2 linked regions of the Callithrix jacchus genome follow. The protein of the gene in region 1 interacts with the protein of each later gene in a pairwise test. Links are inferred from orthologs where the notes say so. Each region holds a gene or a part of one and is shown on either strand. Other genes may lie near its edges. The genes, in order: MAGEB4 and FERD3L.

Region 1 (9,352 bases):
ACAAAGTTAAACAGCTATCACCTAAGGAAAGTGGTGATATGCACTCTAAGACCAAAAGTATACATGATAAGAAGGGAGAGAGGTGGTTCCACGTGAGAACAGTCAAGTATAAATTATCTAATCAAGACTGTGTGGGGCCTAAGGAAAGTGCGGGTCCCTCAATGGGAGTGAAGTGAGGCTGCATGGTGGGCTGGATGAGACTGTGGGAATGGTGAGCAGAGGCCAGGTTCTCAGATGTTGCCTCTCAGAGGTGCAAGATGAAGTTTGGAATGGGAAACAGTTCTTAACAGTTACTTAGGGATCATGGATCCCAAACCAGGGGAATCTGGAGCAGGAATGTGTCCTGTGCTCTTGTTCCAATACAAATAAACACAGCACACACTAGGTGTTTTGTGCACATCATCTCCAGACACTTTCTGATAAATAAGGGTAATATCCTCAAGGGAGATGGGAGGCCCAGAAGCCACTGCGCTGGCACTCTTTGCCCTGGGCTGCAGGATCCAGAGCCTGTTCCATGAAAAGCACATTCAATTAGGTTACCTCGTGTGTAATCCGACATACTCTAGCAAGGTCTAGTTTTTGAGAGGTGGTTAAATGAATGAAAATAAAAGTGGTTTAGATGGAAGGATAGTTGAAAGAGACGGAAGTTTTTGGTCCTTGAAACACATTTTAGAATCTGTGTTGCACCTACTCAGGAAGTCTACCTCATACTAATATTGAGTCATCTATCAAGTAATAAGGAAATATTAATTAGTTTTCCTTTCTAAGTAGCACTTTGTCTGATAGGGCTTTCTTTGTCCTAGAATATGGTATAATCTCCGACATCTCCTGCACTGAAAAATAAGACCCAGTGGAGTGGATGGCAATGTCAGGGGACAAATGAATCATAATAAGAACTGGCACTATTTTATGTCTCAATGCATCTCAAATACTTTATATACATTGTATACATTTTACCAGTCCGACAAAACAGAGTTTATCAAACCCACTTCACAGAAAAAATGTCTGAAGCCCACAGTCTGTTAATGTGCCTAATTTTTTCATGGCTGGTAAGTGACAGGACTGGGGCAAGACCCCTAGTCTGAATGAGTGTAAAGCACACTCTGCTTCATGCCTCACAACCTGAGACTGACTGTGTCCCCTTACTCACTTTTCTTCTCACTGCTCCCAAATGTACATCAAGTTATAAGATTCTGTGCCCAATTTGCTGGACTGGAATACAGAACCAAAGCAACAAAATCACCAAAATGACTGAGACGTGTGAATAAAGGAGAGAAAGACAATATTTGATGACAATATGATTGCATAATCAAATACATATAAACTCAAAGGATCATGGGCTCACATTCTGTCATTCTGGTCAGTCCCCCCATTTTTTAAGGAAGTTAAATACTTTCCAAGAGAAATACATAAGAGACTGGTAAAGAGAAGAAATAGATCAATGTGTTTCTCTGACAGTATGACTTCTATCCTGGGGCTTCTGTTTGTGTTACAGCTTCCCCATCTTACATCACTCCTGGGACAGGGATGCATTGTCTGCAAGATTTGTTGTAGGGAAACTGGTCAAGACTTTTAAGGGATGTGGTATTTCCCAGGAAGTCATTAATTAAGGGACAAGAACCAAGAAAAAGACCCTCATATAGGAGGACAGAGCAGAGCAACATGCCAGACACAGTTCTTAGCCTGAGCATCTCCTCACTTATTCTTCAAAGTTCATAGGGACTTGTGAGTTCTTGGACCTCAGGTCAGTAGAGGGAGGAGTCCCATTCTCTGACACGTACCAAGTTGAGGACCCTGAATAAAGAATGAGGGAAGCATTCACCCCAATAGTCTTGACAGGATGTAGCTGAACCTAATTTCTACTCCGGAGGTCTTAAGAAGTTAAAGACCATTATCTCAGGCTAGCTGACTCAGGTCCATAGAGATAGGATTCCTAAGGTGTGCCAGGAGTAAAGTGAGTACCCTGAAGGGTGCAGGAACCACCAAACCCCTATCAGTGTAGACCCCACAGAATCCTCCCTATTGTCATCTCTGAGAGATTCAGGCATGAATGTCAGACAGAGGCACCCTCATATCATCAGTAGTAACAGAGAAGTGAAGGTCTTGTTCTGAGGTGGGCAGTCCCAGCTCAGCAGGGGGAGGAATATTAAGCCTTCCTGTGAGTCAGATTTAGGATCCTGAGTTAGGACCTGAGTAGGACGATCCACCATAAGACCTCAACCTGGCTACCACAGCCGCCACTCTTGGGAGACCATAGTCAGTTATGGCCAGATAAGGCCACCCTCTCCTCCTCCTATCAGATCTCAGGGAGGTACAGGCCTTTTAAACAGAGAGGTCTTGAGGTCAAAAAGGAGGGGAGCCTCAGGATCTTCCAGGAGCCAAATAAAGGAAAACAAGTGAGAGCTGAGGGGGCTGCTCACCTCTAAATAGAGAGGACAACAGACTCTAGCCCCCTGCATAAATCTTAAATTGCCAGGGCAACATGTGAGGCTGAGGCTTCACCATCACTTTTTTTTAAATACTTGACCTTCTTTTTTCAGAATAGTTTAATGTTCACAGCAAAACTGAGCAGAAAGCACAGAGAGTTCCACAGGCATCCTGTCCTCCCAGGCACAGCCTCCCTCATATCAACCTCCCAACCCAGGGTAATACACTTGTTACAATTGAGCATACAGGGACACATCATTATCACCTTATCAATTTAAGACAGAATTGCTTTACTGCCTTAAAAGTTCTCTGTGCCTCATGTATTTATCTCTCACTCTTCCCAACCCTTGGAAACCACTCAACTTTGTACTGTTTCTACACTTTTGCCTTTTCCAGAATGTCTATAGATGGAATTATGCATTGTGTTGCCTTTTCACATTGGCTTCTTTCACTTTGTAATATGTAGTTAGGTTTCCTCCATGTCTCTTTGTGGCTTGATAGTTCTTTCCCTTTTAATACTGAATAATATTTTATACTCTTAATTTACCCACTCTCCTTCTGAAGGACATCTTGGCTGCTTTCCAGTTTAGGCAATTATAAATAAAGCTACTATAAATGTTTGTGTGCAGGTTATTTTGTGAACATTCTTTTCAACTCATTTGGCTAAATAACAAGAAGTGCAGTTACTAGATCATATGATAAGACTACACATAGTTTTGTAAGAAATTTATAAACTGTCTTCCAAAGTGGCTGTACCATTTCGCATGTCCACCAGCAATGACAGTGTGCTCCTATTGCTCCACATCCTCGTCGGTAGTTGGGGTTATCAGAGTTTTTGATTTTGACCATTCTTATAGGTATGGAGTGGTTTCACATTACTTTAATTTGCAAGTCCCTAATGACATGTGATGTTGTGCATCACTTCATGTACGTATTTACTTTCTGTATATATTATTGTTGAGATGCTCATTTATATCTTTTGCCCATTTTTAATAGGGTTGGTCCATTCTTATTGTTCAGTTTTAAGAATTTTTTGTATGTTTTGGTTAACAATCTTTTATCAGATATGTCTTTTGAAAATAAATTTTTCCCAATCTGGGAGTTGTCTTATTCTTTGTGGTATCTTTACCAGAGCAGAAGTTATAATTTAGTGAAGCCCAGATTATCAATTTTTTTTTCATAGATGCCCATCACATTTTATGTCAGAACTAGAAAAGGTGAAATTCTTGGTCTGAAGTCGCAGTTATTAGTCATCAGAAGAGACAGTCCACAACCCTGCATGGAGTCCAGATGAGGAAACTGAGTGCAAACTTGGGACCTGAGGATCCCAGGACAGAGAGCACTAAATGCTTCGAAGCAGGGGTGGTGGGTTGAGGTGCCCCTACATTTCCCTCATCTGGGTCCCATAGAAAGTTAAAGATTCTACTTCACAACACCAATAGAAGGAGGCTGAGGCCCTGCCAAGAGCTGACAGGATAATTCTAAAAGTAATCAGAGTGGATCCTTTCCAAGCCAGAACACAGAGAGAACCCAGTCAGCCCCCAGCAGGGTTGGCAAGCTGCAGCCTAAGGCACATTGTAACTTCCTCAGCTGAGTTCTCAGGGGACAGAATGACGAAGAACAATAGCCCAGTCAATACTTAGAGCAGTGTTCTCAAGGAATCCTGCAGAGACGGTTTCTGAAAAGCCAAGGTAGTATCTGCCTACTAAAGGTGTTCTCAGGATCTCAATCTCTCTTCTCCAGGCACCATATCACCTGCCCTTCTGGCTACTCTCCTACCTGTTGTGCCTAATCACAGCTATCATGCCTCGAGGTCAGAAGAGTAAGCTCCGTGCCCGTGAGAAACGCCAGCGGACCCGTGGTCAGACCCAGGATACCAAGGTTGCTCAGGCCACTGCAGCAGAGAAAGAAGAGTCTCATTCCTCTTCCTCATCTGTTTTGGGGGATATTCCCTCCAGCTCCCCTGCTGCTGGCATTCTGCAGAGGCCTCAGAGAGCACTACCCACCACTGGTGCTGCAGCTATGTCATGCACTGGATCTGATGAAAGTGACAAGAGCCAAGGTGAGGAAAAGGCAAGTTCCTTCCAGGCCTCAACATCCACTGAGAGCTCAATCAAAGATCCTATAACCAGGAAGACGAAGATGTTGGTGCAGTTCCTGCTGTACAAGTATAAAATGAAAGAGCCCACTACAAAGGCAGAAATGCTGAAGATCATCAGCAAAAAGTACAAGGAGCACTTCCCTGAGATCTTCAGCAGAGCCTCTCAGCGCATGGAGCTGGTCTTTGGCCTTTCCTTGAAGGAAGTCAACCCGACCAGTCACTCCTACACCATTGTCAGCTTGCTGAATCCCACCAACGATGGAAACGAGAGCAGTTCCTGGAAATATCCAAGGAATGGGCTTCTGATGCCTCTACTGAGTGTGATCTTCTTAAGTGGCAACTGTGCCAGTGAAGAGGAAATCTGGGAATTCCTGAATGTTTTGGGGATCTATGATGGTAAGAGGCATATCATCTTTGGGGATGCCCGAAAGCTTATCTCCCAAGATCTGGTGCAGGAAGAATATCTGGAGTACAAGCAGGTGCCCAACAGTGATCCCCCACGCTATCAATTCCTGTGGGGTCCAAGAGCCTATGCTGAAACCAGCAAGATGAAAGTCCTAGAGTTTTTGGCCAAGGTGAATGATACCATCCCCAGTAACTTCCCACTCCTTTATGAAGAGGCTTTGAGAGATGAAGAAGAGAAAGCCAAAGCCCGGCCCAGAGTTGCAGCCAGGCGTGGCACTACTGCCATGACTAGTGCACATTCAAGGGACACATCCAGCAGCTCTTCCCACCCCATGTGAGATCTAAGGCAAATTGTTCAATTTGTAGTTGAAAGACCTGCTGCCTTCTGCTGTTCCTGTGCTGCATGAATAACTCGGTGATATATCTCTTTGTTGAATTTTCCTGTGATGTTTCTTAAAATAGAAAGGTTATTTAAATTCAGAATATAAGCTTAGAAATGGCATGCATCACACACTTATTTCTGTTTATCAGGTTGGTTTAGTAATAAGAGTTTGGTTTTTGAAATACAAATAGAAAATCTGAAAATCGTTTTTGTGATACAGAGCAAAATAACATGGCGTTGGAGTAAGGTTATTTTTAGAAATTTAAAATAACGCCACAGTAAAATAGAAGAATCTGAAGACAGAAAGAGAAGAAAAGCAAAAGTTGCTTTATTTTTGATTTATCTTACTACTTTTAGTCTTTTGTTGTTCATAAATTTGAAAGTTACATACCTGGTTTGCTTAGATTATTTAAGAATGTGGAGGCTTCGGCCAAGGTCAATGACAGTGTCCCCATTGTCTTCCCTCTATTAAGAGAAGACTTTGAGAGATGAGGGAGACAGTGTTGCAACTGCTCCTGGCATGTTCCAGTGTGATGTCCAACAGTGTCATCCACTCCTTGTGAAGTCTGAGGTATATTCTTTACTTTTAATTAAAGAAAATATTAACCTTCTAATTAATAGAGGGCCAAAGAGGAGTTGGTGGGAACATCATATATAATATATTTGTATGTAAAATGATTTATCTTTTCATTTTCCTGTTTTTCAGTGTTCTTTCTTTTAATTGTAGAATTATTTAGTTTCAGAATCTAAGTTTATGAATGGCATGAAAAACTCATTTATTAAAATATGTCAGGTTGAAGAACAAGAACTTTTGCATTATGTAAAACAATTTAAAATCTTTAAATCTTTTTCTGTGATCTAGAACAAGACAATATGACATTAGAATACAGAATTTGTGAAAAGGAAATTACCTAGCAATAAAGTTGGTGGGATCATGAAATAGAGAAAAAAAAGTAAAATGTGGTCAATTCTTGCTTTGTTTTATTCCTTTTAGTCTTTCTTTGTAAAACTGAAGTATATGTATCTGGATTGGGTTAGCTTTCTCAGGAATGTGGGAGAAATTAAATAGCAATACATTTGACTTCCGGCTCACTTGCACTTTAATTGTCCTAATATTAATTGAGCAGCTACTCTTCAGAGGGCTCCTAGCTAGCACTGGATAAGCAAAAAAATAAAAATTAAAAAAAAATAAAACCCTGTCCATAGAATTTTAGAATTCAACAGCAGCTATCACATAATGAAGGTAATGAGATAGTCCCTAAGACCTAAAGACAGTTGAAAAGAGGATATAAGAAGGTGGGGGTGTTTCTAGGGGAAGAATCTAGTGTAAATGTCCTAAGCAAGGTAATTGAGACTCTGGGAAACTGAACATACTGCAGTAGGAGGTAATTTTATGTTGCTGCATAGTGACTAGATGGGGCGCACCGAGCAGGGGGGTCACACACTCAGATGATGGATCTCAGAGTTGAGAGTTAGAGACTGGAATGAAAAATTGCCCTTAAAAGTTACTTTGGAATTGTGGAAAAAAACAGAGGAAATCTTTGCCTGGGGTAGGGATTGAAAATGGCCTGTGCTCTTGTCCCAGCGCAAGTGAATCCAGTACACAGATTAGGTGTTTTATGCACATAGTCCCCGGGGTGTTTCTGAGAAATAAAGGTGTTACTCCTTTAAGACTGGAAACTCATATGCCACTGGGCTAATACTCTGCCATCAGCTGGGGAGCCAGAATCCATTCCATTAAAAGGGCATTCATTTTTCTTTTCTTTCATGTGTTTTGGAAGTTTTAAGGGACATCTAGATTTTTGGTGATGGTAAAATAAATGAATATAAGGGTGGTTTGTATGAAAGGCTAGAGTTGGTCTTTGAAGCAAACCCTAGAAGGTTTCAGTTGCTTTCAGCTGAGAAAGACAACTCCACACTCAAACTATGATTCAGTATGGAAAAGATACTTAGAGTTTCTTTGTAAGCTGCATTTTGGGCTGATTTGTAGTTTCATGTCTTAGAATGTTGTATATTCTTTGTTATCACTTGGGCTTAAAAAAAATCAGCAGATTTCTTCTGAATCAACTACAGATGATTTCTTCTGTAGTTGAAATAATCATAGTAATAAGCATTGTTTAAAGTCTCAATGCACTCCAGGGCTTTGCACATGTTAACCACATTCCACCAGTCCTACATCACAAGGCTTATCAAGCCCATTTCACAGATGCAGAGCCTAAGGCTCATAGAGTTTGGTAATGTGCCCAAGTTCATACAGCTAGTAAGTGATAGGGCTGAAACTAGACTGCTGATCTGAATTCCTCTAGAGTCCACACTGTTCCACTCCTCCCAAACTGAAGCTTACCACAAGTTGCTTAATTCATTTTCTTCTGCTAACCCAAAGTGTATCTCAGGTAACAAAGAAGAGGTCTATGCCCCAAACACTGATTGGAATACAAAACCAGAGCAAGGATAATACCAAAATAATTGACACATGTAAGTTAAAGACAGAAAGAAATAATACTCGGTGACAATATGATCATCAACAGAAGCAAAATCAGATAGCTTCAAAAGATCGAAAGATTGCAAAATCATCTGGCTTCACCCTTTTCTATAGAAAGTAAGTCTTTTAGAAATACCCTTTGGTTGGTGAAGTGAAAGAACAGATCAGCATGTTTTTTCCCCTGAGAGCACAGTATCTGTCCTAGGCTCTCCACCTTCCATTTCAGTTTCCCAATGTCACATTACTTCTGGGACAGGGACCTCTTCTCTGCAAGCTCTGCAAAGAGGAAATTGATCAAATTTTTGCAGAGATGTGACATTTCCCTGGAAGACATTGATCAAGAGACAGGAGCCAACATGAGAACCCTCATGAATGAATAGTAGGGTGAAAACCATTTCAAAATGTAAGGTTTCATCTAGACCCTTCAGGAGGGTGACCTCAGTTCAGTAAACAGAGGAGTCCCAGGTTCTGATACATGTAAAGGCGAGGAGCAAAACTGTGGAGCTCTATTGAGGCCTGTCCTTACTATCTGTTCTTGCAGGTTGCAAAAGAACTATGATCATATGAGGATCATCCAGAATTCCAACTCCAAATTCTCAGGAAAACAGGACCTTTATGTGAGAGGAGCAGGTTCAGGTAAATAAAGGGTGGAGTTATAGGTTTGCTCACTTGTCAAGGTGAGAGGCTGAATGTGGACTAAGGGTTAAGAAGAGGCCTCACAAAAAGCCCCAGGCGGGGATGGCAGGTTGATTTCTGCCCGGAAAGTCTCAGGGAGGTGACTGGTTCCGTCTACTTGGGGCAGCGTCAGTTTCACAGAGGGAAGAGGTTGAGACTCTAACAAGAATCACTGTAGGACTCTTACGTGTTATGCGGGGACTCCACCAGCAGACAAGACCACACAGAGTTCATCCCGTTTTGAAGCACCAGACAGAGCTATCTGCCTAAGGTGCCTCTCATTTCCGCCTGGAAGGTCTCAGGGAGGAGAGCATCTGGCCCTGAAGGGGGAGTCGCTCTAATTCTGCCTGGAGAGGAAACCGGAGCCGGAGCAGGAGCGGGAGTCCTAGTGAGGAAGACCTCTCCCCAAAAGAGGGACGTTCACAGAGTCCTGCCACTGCTGTCAGGCCTGTGAGGCCCAGGCAGGGGTGGCCTGTATCGCATGCTCAGATTTCCACCGTGGGTTTGAGGGAGGTTGGGGTATTGTATGGAGGCTGGCAGATTTGGGTCAGCAGGCGGAGTCATCCCAGGCTGCTAGATACTAAGGTAAGGACTTCTAGGGGGTACGTAGAGATTAGCAACACAAGAACAGTGACCTCCCATAGCATCATGCTCCTGCCTTCACCCTTCAAAGGCCCCAGGCTGCCGAATGTGGCTCATCCTGACTTCTGCTTTGAAGGCGAGGACTCCAGCACACGTGGTTCGTCCTCACTTCCATTATGAGGGCAAGGAGCCAAGCGGATGTTGCTCATCCTCACTTCCGCTTTGAAGGGTGGGGCAGGCGGTGGGGGAGGGCGGGGCCCCGGGCGGATGTGACGTATGTGATGGGGAGGGGGCTGAC
Region 2 (9,775 bases), on another chromosome or scaffold:
CCACATGGTCTTATTTATGTATGGGTGCAAAAATGTTGAGCTCATGAAGTAGAGAACAGAATTGTGATTTTTGGAGTCTCAGAAGGGAGTGGGAGGGGAGGATAGGAAGAGGTTGGTTAAAGAATACAAAATTATTTTTAAAACTAAAAATAAAATTACCATATTATTAGCAATTCCATTTCTGCGGACACATCCAAAAAATTGAAAGCAAGGTCTCAAAATGATGTTTGGATATCCATGTTTATAGCAGCATTATTCACAATAACTAAAATCGGCAAGCAACCCAAGTGTCCCTCAACAGATGGATGGTTAAACAAAATGTGGTATATACATACAATGGAATATCATTCAACCTTAAAAAGAAAGGAAATTCTAATGTGTGCTGAAATACAAATGACTCTTTAGGATATTATGCTAAGTGGAATAAGCCAATCACAAAAAGAAAAATACTGTAGAATTCTACTTATATGAGCTACACAGAAAAGTCAAATTTATAGAGGCAGAAGGTAGAATGGTGGTTGCTAGGGGCTGAGGAAAGGAGAGAATGAGGAGTTACTTTTTCAATGAATATGGAGTCTCCATTTTATAAAATTGAAATAGTTTTTGAGATTGATGATGGTGATGGTTGCACAATATTATGAATGTATTTAATACCACTGAACTGTACACTTAAAAATAGGTAAAGTGGTAAATATTATATGTATTTTACCACCATAAAAACTTTGGAAAAATATAAATGAAAATTTTAAATGTGCCATAAAGAGAATGAAATGAAAAGCCAAATAGCTGGAAGAAGATATGTGTAGTACATATATATGACATGGAACTTATACCCAGAATATTTATATAAATCAACTTTTTTAATTAGAAAAATCCACAAAAAACAGTTGAGCAGTACTGTATTAAAGAGCCAGTGCCTAATCAGCCAACATGAAATGGTGCTCAATTTTACTTATCATCAGGGAAATGCAAATAAAACCGCAATGTGATACCCATACACGTCTTTAAGACAGCTTAAACTAAAAAGATAGAAACTGGAAAGTATCGATGAGGATGAGAAGAAATTGGAACTCCAATACATCATTTGTGACAGTGTAAACTGTTACAACCATTTTGGAAAACAATTTGCTAGTAACCACCAGAACTGAACATATGCATAAACTATTCCAATTCTAGGTGTATCCCAAACAGGAAAGGATAATTGTGCTTACAAACAAGTATGTACAATAATCTCATGATACTGCTAATTGTAGTAACTAAAAATTGGAAACTACCCAAATGTTCGTCAACAAGAAAAGGAAAGAACAAATAAGTAGTGGTAAATTTACACAGTGAAATTATTCACTTATGAGAAAAACATGCACAAATTTCATAAACAAAATGTTGAACCAAAGACACAAGCATATCCAGAATATAATTTATTTGTATAAAATGCTTGAAAATTGGCAAAAACTTCAGAAATCAAATAGCAATACCTTGAGGTGTGGTTAATGATTGAATATGGGCACAAGATTGTAGAGGAGGTCATCTGGGATACTTGTAATGTTTTGTTTTCTGTCTTGTGTGCTAGTTACATGAGTGTGCTCACTTTGTGAAATAGTCTCAAGCTATAAACCTAAGGCTTATCTGTTTTTACATTACCTCAAACTTCAAGAAAGCATTCCATTTCTTGATTTGGGCACTGGCTTCATCGATACATTCACTCTGAAAATTCATGAAGCTGCATATATATGATTTGTGAATTTTAAAGTATATACACTGAACTTCAAAAATAAGTTTAACTAAAATATGAAAGGAAAGAAACAAAACAGGTGATTATATATTCTTCTATCTCTAAATCAGCCATGACATACATAATTTGAAATGGAATAGAAAGAAGCCGCTGGTCCCCTCTCCATGTCAGCAGGAGTACTTCTTATGCCTTTCTCCTACAATCATGACAAACATCTACCTTTGTCATATCTTTATCATTTGCCCTACAAGTTCATGTTTCTGGAATAATGAAGGGACAAGAAAAAGAAAAGGAAAGGTAGGGTTTTAAAAATTGGGGGGACTTATTTGTTTTACTCCCTGAATGCTTTATATTTCCACCTTTTTCCCCTTAGCACCCTTAAACCCAGGCTTCAGCTTATTTGAGAATTATGGTGCAAGTTATTCTTGGTCATTGTTTTTTACTTTGATTCTTAACATAATAGTATAAACAAAATGTTTAATGTCTAATGGGAATGGTCAATAGAAATAAACCAGATAATCAAATAAGCAAAATTGATTGTCATTTCATAATCATTTCTTGAAATATTTTGAGCAAAATTTGTGAAGGAGTTATCAAACTTTTTATAAACGCCTCCCTATGGATTACTGAATATCTATAAACTATAGAGCTAGAACCCAGAGGAATCAGGGTTAAACTTAGCTGCGTTTAATCCTCAGTTGAGTCTTTAAAAAAACCTCTCTCTCTTAACTTTCAAATCTAGAAATGAAAATAATGGTTCCTTCCAATGAGATGAACTGTAACATCACTTGGTACTTTATAAATTTACTGCTCTTGCTATAATTAAATTATAAATAAAATAATTATAATTATAGATTATACAACTATAATTATAAATGAAAAGCACTTATTATCATAACTTAGGTTTTAACATTTTTTGCTTTAATTATACTAGCATGATTATAGCCTTGTAAGATAAAACGACTGTGGTATAAACAGAAGTGTTTATCCTGGGATTTTTATGATGAAATAAAAACAAAAACATTTAAAAATATTTGCTGTAGATGTACCTATTAGGACACTTTAAAAATTCTTAATACTTTCATACCAGTATTTCATCCAAGTTCTGGGCACTGCTTCCATTACTTTTGCTACAATTCCTTTTATGATATGATTACTGAAATCTCTATTCACTGCCAGGTGCAGGGCTCAGGCCAGTAATCTCAGCACTTTGAAAGGCCAAGGTGAAAGGATTGGTTGAGGCCAGAGCAAAATAGTTAGACCTTCTCTCTAAAACACAAACCAATTTAGCCTCATGTGGTGGCCAGTGACTGCAGTCCTAGATACTCAGGAGGCTGAGATGGGAGAGTTGCTTGAGCCCAGGAGTTTGAATCACTGCACTCCAGCCTGCATGACTGAGTGAGACTCTGTTGAAAGAAAGAAAGAAGAAAGAAAAAAGAGAGGGGGGAGGAAGGAAGGGAGAGAAAGAGAGAGAAAAGAAAAGAGGGAGAGACATTCCCTTGGCTAAAATCATAAAGGAGTTCAGTCCAAAGAAACTGTCCCTTTAGAGTCTCGTGAAAGCTTCTGACCCCCATTTCATGACATTTTAAATTTAAGTATCAACCATGTTTTCCTTCATTAAGTGCCCCAATGTATTATATTGTGCAACTAAATTCTCACTTGACTGCAGTATTTAATCCACTTGCAAATAGGGTTGTAAAGGAATAAAAAATAAGTCACTGAGAAGCATTTAACATAATTTAAAAATCAACAATAAATTTGCCCAAATATTTAATAACATATTAATTTAAACAAGGGTTAGAAAGCATGTTAGTACTTTTTTGAAACAAAAATCAATTCTCCCATTTACTAGCTTCATAGCCACTGTTGACGAACCTATTAGTTTTTGTTTTTCAGCCTTCCCTTTGAAAGAAGCTTAGTAAAAATCAATGAAGTAATATCCAGGATCTCAGTCTCATTAACATCTTCCGGATCACAAATTTCAATTATTCTCTGCCTGAGTTATCACAATGCAAACTGGAGAATGAAGGGTAAACACAAGCAAATGAGATAAAATCTATTAAAAGATCGAGAGACACCAGACACAAATGGGCTAAAAGAAGAAAAAGAAGAATTCAAAGTTATACGTTTTGGTTACACACCGAGAGGTTAGGAAGAACAAAACGAATTGAGATTACCTGTTATAGAAATAGGCGGTTTCTGGGAGCTGTCCAATGTCCTGAGTGAACCATCACAGCCACAACTTACCCCTTCATAGGGACTGATGTCCTCAGCGGTTCTCTTTTGAACCGGAATGTTTCTACATTCATCTTTTTAGGCTGCTTCTTCTACTCTACCTTAAAAATTATCTTCTAATCTGTCACTTTTACCCAATGGGTCTTTTAAGTAAATCTTTACACAGTACTGTGTAATTAAGTAAATATAATTATTGGCAAACAAGGAAAAAAAAGAACCCGTTTGTTAAAATATTAGGGATACTAGAGATAATATAAAATCAGGAAAATCTTATTTTTCTTATGCCAAATTTAAAATTTATCTCAAAAAATAATGACCTAATGATAGCCAAAAGTCTTCCTTATATATAATGCAATAAATAATTGTTTCTGCTCTTAAATCTTAATGTAGGACAACACAAATCAATGAGGAAAATACGCCAGATGGAAGTGTTAGGTTTTTTCTTTGTTCAGAAACAAATACTCGCTCCGCAACTTAAAAGTCGGAGGACTTCTCAGCAGAGGACTCCTTGGCTTATCAAGGGCAAACCGCATTTCTGAAAGGAGCTTGAAGTGGTTTTGTTTGTGGGGAGAGTTTGCAAAATGTCCTGAGCTTAAATTTCTCATTTTATTGCCATTATAACTTTTCCTCTTGGAATAAAATCCTCTATTTTACATGACTAGGAGGTAAAGTAAGGAAAGGAAAGTCAAGTATCTCAATTGTTAAGCTGATTGCCTCCAAACAGACTTTCGAAGTCAGGGTTTGTAACGTGGCAGGAGAGCTGTTTGCGATGCCCTGGAAAGAAAAAGAAAGCCGGTTCCAACAGCGACTCTAGGGAATGCACTCTCGGCCCCCCTGCCATGCTTACTTAAGCTAATGGAAGGTCTTGCCTTTCAGCAGCCGCTGCACTGGGATACCAGACAAACAGCTACCCTCGATCCCAGGCAGGCAGGGCCCCTCTTCAGGACATCATTAAAAGCGCATGCACTTGCTCCACATCCATTGGCAGATGGTGGCAAGATTCAAGACTCCTACCCTGAAGTCAAGGAGAAGCCATCGCGCTGGAAAACATCCTCGCTTTGAAAATCCAAAACGAAATTAAAGAACTACACGAGATAAGGAGCCTAGAGAACATTAGTTGGCTGCAGGGGTGAGGAGAGACACAAAAAGCACAGCAGGTAAGAGCTGGGGGTTTTTGCCAAGAAGGAACTGTCCCGGGTGGCGCAGAGAAAAGGATCTCAGAACTGGAGTCCTGTCCCTTTGAGTCTTCCATGCGTGCTCAAGCTTGTCATCTTCCATAAGCTTCGAGAGGAGGGATGTTGTCAGAGCATTCCTTATCGCTGCGACTAATCCTGTTATCAGCTTGGTGATAAATATTTAATGTTCCCTGGCCCTTCGGTGATGATGCCCCATCAGATTCAAGGCTGTTAAGAATCCCCACCAGCAGCCTCGCTCCTCCCTGCGGAAAACCGATGAGAGGCAGGGCCAAGCCGAAGCGATGGCGGCCTATCCGGAGAGCTGCGTGGACGCCACGGTGCTGGGCTTCGTTGCAGACCTGTCCCTGGCCTCCCCGAGACGCCCTCTCCTCTGCGACTTCGCACCTGGGGCCTCCTTCAGGGACCCAGCCCTTGCGCTCCGAGAGGGAAGACCCAGGAGGATGGAGCGGTTTGAGGAGGGGGGCCCAGAAGAAGAGGACCAGGGGGACGGGGAAGAGGAGGAGGAAGAGGAGCGCGGGAGAGGCACCTCCCTATTAGGCCGCCCCAAGAGGAAAAGAGTGATCACCTACGCCCAGCGCCAGGCCGCCAACATCCGCGAGAGGAAGCGGATGTTCAACCTCAACGAGGCCTTTGACCAGCTGCGGAGGAAGGTGCCCACGTTTGCTTACGAGAAAAGGCTGTCCCGGATCGAGACCCTCCGCCTGGCCATTGTCTACATCTCCTTCATGACCGAGCTCTTGGAGAGCTGCGAGAAGAAGGAAAGCGGCTGAGCCGGGTGGGGAGAGTGCCCCCTCCTCGTCTGGGCGCGCTCGGGCTGGGGTGTGTCGGGACCGGGCGCGGGGTGCGGCCGGAGGGCAAGGAGGGACGCCCCAAGACAGAACGTCTGGCCTTCTGGAGCTCGGGTTAGGGATTGTAAGATCCCCAAGACCCCCGAGCAGAGTGGCTGCTGTAGAGTTCTTACCTACGCGACTACCCGTCCTAAGTGGAGTCGGTGTCAGGGGAGAGCCGGGAAGTCAGAGCGCTTGAGGATAAGGGGCCGTCCAGGCTGCTTCTGTGGGTTGGGTGGGTGGGAAGCAAACCCTCCTCGGAAATGGCAGACTTTGGAGCGTCTATAGAATCTAATCTCTCCTCTTTACCCTTTTTTTTTTCATAGAAATAATAATGTAGAAATTCTTACTTTTTAAAAAGCTTCAAGAGTCGGTGCCACGCCATCCCCGGCAGGCGCTCCAGCGGGCGCCTGCGTGGAGGATCTGGAGCAGACGCCCCGAGGGGCTCAGGATCATCTCTCTGGTCCTCCGAGGCGTGTCCAGGAACTGAGAGAAGGGAAAATGGAAGGCAGAGCAGTCGAGGGGAACTGCTGACAAAGTGCGACCTCTGCGAAGGGACATCCTTCCTGTCTTCCTTTGCCTCTTCCTCCCCTACCTTTCTCTCTCCCCTGCGCCAGCCCTCTCTTTCTTTCTCTCTCTCTCTTTCCACCTAGTTGATCCCAGAGGGACCATAGCTCCCTGTCCCAGGGCCACAGTGGTGTGGAGTCAGTGTCTTAGCCAGAGTGCCATTCTACGCTTTGCATCTTAAGTGCAGCGTCAGCTTCCGGTTCCAGTGCCTTCAGGCCCCAGCCAGAGTAAGGGACGAGTGCACTTGGGTCACTTCTGGGCCTGCAGCGGGCCTTGGGCGCCCTATGGCTTAGCCGACAGCCGGCGCTACCAACTCTGTGAAGGGGCTTGGATCTTTCTAGGAGCAGTGCCGCCTGAGCGCGCACTTTGACATTTTTAGCACTAGGGAGGAAAGATGTCTTTCACTCTTATGGCTTCTAGAGACTACCAGGAGAGACAAAAAGTCTAAAGAGGAGACGCGTTCAGACGCCTTGCAAAACGGCTGCCACGCAGAAGTTGAAGCGGGTCCATGCTGAGAGGCTGCCTCCAGTTTGGACCCCACTCTATTCCAGGAATCTCCCTTCTAGGTGATGTGCCAGAACTGGGGTCTTTTAGAAAGGAGGGAGTACCTGAGGAGAGGAACCTGATTGAATAATTCCCCCCAAACGTAAATTTAGTAATCCTAAAGGATAATCCCCAGTGATTATTCCAACACTTTATTTTGCCCCTCTTTATGCACAGGAATAGGCAGGCGCCTGTGAGAACACCTAATTCACTTAATCATGCTTTCAGAAATAGAATTCATTTCATTAATAGGTAATATATACTTCTAGAAAGTCTGGAAAACAAAAGTTCAAAAAAGAAAAAAACCGAATCACCCCACATTACCATATTGTTAGCATTTTCATCTATTTCTTTCCAGTCTTTTTCCCCCCTATGCAGTTATAAATTCAATATATTTAACTAATTCAACATACTTTGGGATACTGATATTTTTTCACTTGACATTCTAGAAGGTGCAATTGTTTTCCCTTAACTTGAAATATTATTCAAATGTGGTTTTGATTACCATATCTTATTGTCATATCCATGTATCACAACATCAGCCCTTTACAGATAGCTATTTCCTTTTTTAAAAAAATAAATGATGCTGCTAAGAGCATTCTTGTAAATGTCTTCTCTGTCTATTACTATTTCCTAATATTTGATGCCTAGAAGTGAATTTTCTGGATTTAAGTTTGTGGATACAAATGGCCAGATTCCCTTTTTGGTGGGTTCTGCCAGTTCACTCTCCCATCCTCTAGCATTGCAGGAATTTGCCTGTTTCCAAGCCCCATCATTAGTACTTTGAACATTTAAAACTTTTGTTAGTTTTCCTTTCCATAGGACCTGGGTTGGTTCTGAAATGAGCCACTGCTCCCAAAATGTTTTTTTTTACTTTTGCTGTGTCTTTCCACGAATAATTTTTCCAATTCTACCATAAGAAAGAACATTAGGATAAACAGGTAAAATAAAAAAATATAAGCAGCTAACACCAAACAACAACAAAACCCACAGAGTGTTGTTTTTCCTTTTCTTTTTTTTTTTTTTTGGAAAGAAAGAAAAAAAAAGGAGGGAGAGGAAGAAAGAGGAAGAAAAAGAGGGAGGGGGAACGGGAATGTAGCTTTATTCTAAAAATGGGTATTAATAATGGCCAATCAATATTTTGTGTATTTAAGGTGGAGAATGTATATTTTGTGTTTAAATACACTCCATTTTAAATAATGGAGAGCTCTATAAATATTTATTGAGTTTACTTGTTCTGGATCTGAGTTCAAGTCCTGGATATCCTTATTAATTTTCTGTCTCGTTGAGTCTAGATCTCTTTATGGATCTTATGTATCTAGGTGTTAGGATCGTTAGCTCTTATTGTTGCATTGATCCTTTTACCACTATATCTTTGTTGCTTTGAAATCTATTTTATCAGATGCGAGAATTGCACCTCCTGCTTTTTATTTATTTATTTATTTTTGCTCTCCATTTGGTTGGTAAATCTTTCTCCATCCCTTTGTTTTGAGTCTTCATGTATCTTTGGATGTGAAATGGGTTTGGATGTAGCATACCATTAGGTTTTGGCTGTATCTTTTGATTGGGGGATTTAGTCGATTTAAATTTAGTGTTACTGCTACTTGATGTTAACTGGCTATTTTATCCATTCGTTGATGTAAATTCTTCTTTATGTTGATGCTCTTTACTTTTTGGTATATTTTTGGAAAGGCTAATACTGGTTGTTTCTTTCTATGTGTAATGCTTCTTTAAGAAGCTCTTGTAAAGCAGGCCTGGTGGTAATAAAATTTCTGAGTACTTGCTTGTTCATAAAAGATTTTATTTTTCCTTCAATTGTGAAGCTTAGTTTGGTGGGATATGAAATTCTGGGCTGAAAGTTCTGTTCTTTAAGGATGTTGAATATCGGCCTCTACTCTCTTCTGGCTTGTAGGGTTTCTGCTGAGAAATCTGCTGTAAGTCTAATAGGCTTCCCTTTGTGGGTAACCTGACCTTTCTCTCTGGCTGCCCTTAGTATTTTCTCCTTTGTTTCAGCCCTGGTATATCTAATGATTATGTGCCTGGGGGTTGCTCTTCTTGAGGAATATCTTTGTGGTGTTCTCTGTATTACCTGGGTTGAATATTGTCCTGCTTTGCTAGATTGGGAAAGTTTTCCTGAATAATATCCTGAAGAGTATTTTCCAGCTTGGATTCATTCTCTTTGTTGTATTCAGGTACACCTATCAAATGTAAATTATCCTTTTTTCTCTATTCTTGTCTTCTCATTTTATTTCATTAAGTAGGTCTTCAACCTCTGATATCCTTTCTTCTGCTTGATCAATTTGTCTATTCAAACTTGTGCATATTTTGCTAAGTTTTTGTGTTGTGTTTTTCAACTCCATTAGTTCATTTATATTCCTCTCTATATTGTCTATTCTTGTTAGCATTTCGTCAAGCCTTTTTTCAAAGTTCTTAGTTTCTTTACATTGGGTTAGAACAAGTTCTTTTAACTCCCAGAAGTTTCTTATCATCCACCTTCTGAAGCCTACTTCTGTTAATGTTTTTTCTTATTCTTCTAACAGTGCAAGTTCTCCTAGAAATTAAACATCATTCTTAAAAAAAAATCATCTGAAAGTGTTAAATAAGTAAAAGGAAAGAAAAGTAGTTCCAATCTAGGAATTCTTAATATGTTTTTTAAAGAACAAGTTTTGAAAACC

The links.
Region 2: the proteins of MAGEB4 (region 1) and FERD3L interact in binary tests that used the Homo sapiens proteins (3 or more experiments, as listed by UniProt). The two-hybrid records come from large-scale screens. The link is inferred for Callithrix jacchus from reciprocal best matches to the Homo sapiens genes MAGEB4 and FERD3L.

What each region holds. Positions count from the first base shown.
Region 1 is NC_133524.1:31,131,923-31,141,274, forward strand, and holds MAGEB4 (melanoma-associated antigen B4), read left to right. Parts: upstream 1-4,094; 5' UTR 4,095-4,230; coding exon 4,231-5,271; 3' UTR 5,272-5,824; downstream 5,825-9,352.
Region 2 is NC_133512.1:39,271,063-39,280,837, forward strand, and holds FERD3L (fer3-like protein), read left to right. Parts: upstream 1-4,930; 5' UTR 4,931-5,444; coding exon 5,445-5,933; 3' UTR 5,934-8,524; downstream 8,525-9,775. UniProt on the Homo sapiens protein: Transcription factor that binds to the E-box and functions as inhibitor of transcription. DNA binding requires dimerization with an E protein. Inhibits transcription activation by ASCL1/MASH1 by sequestering E proteins.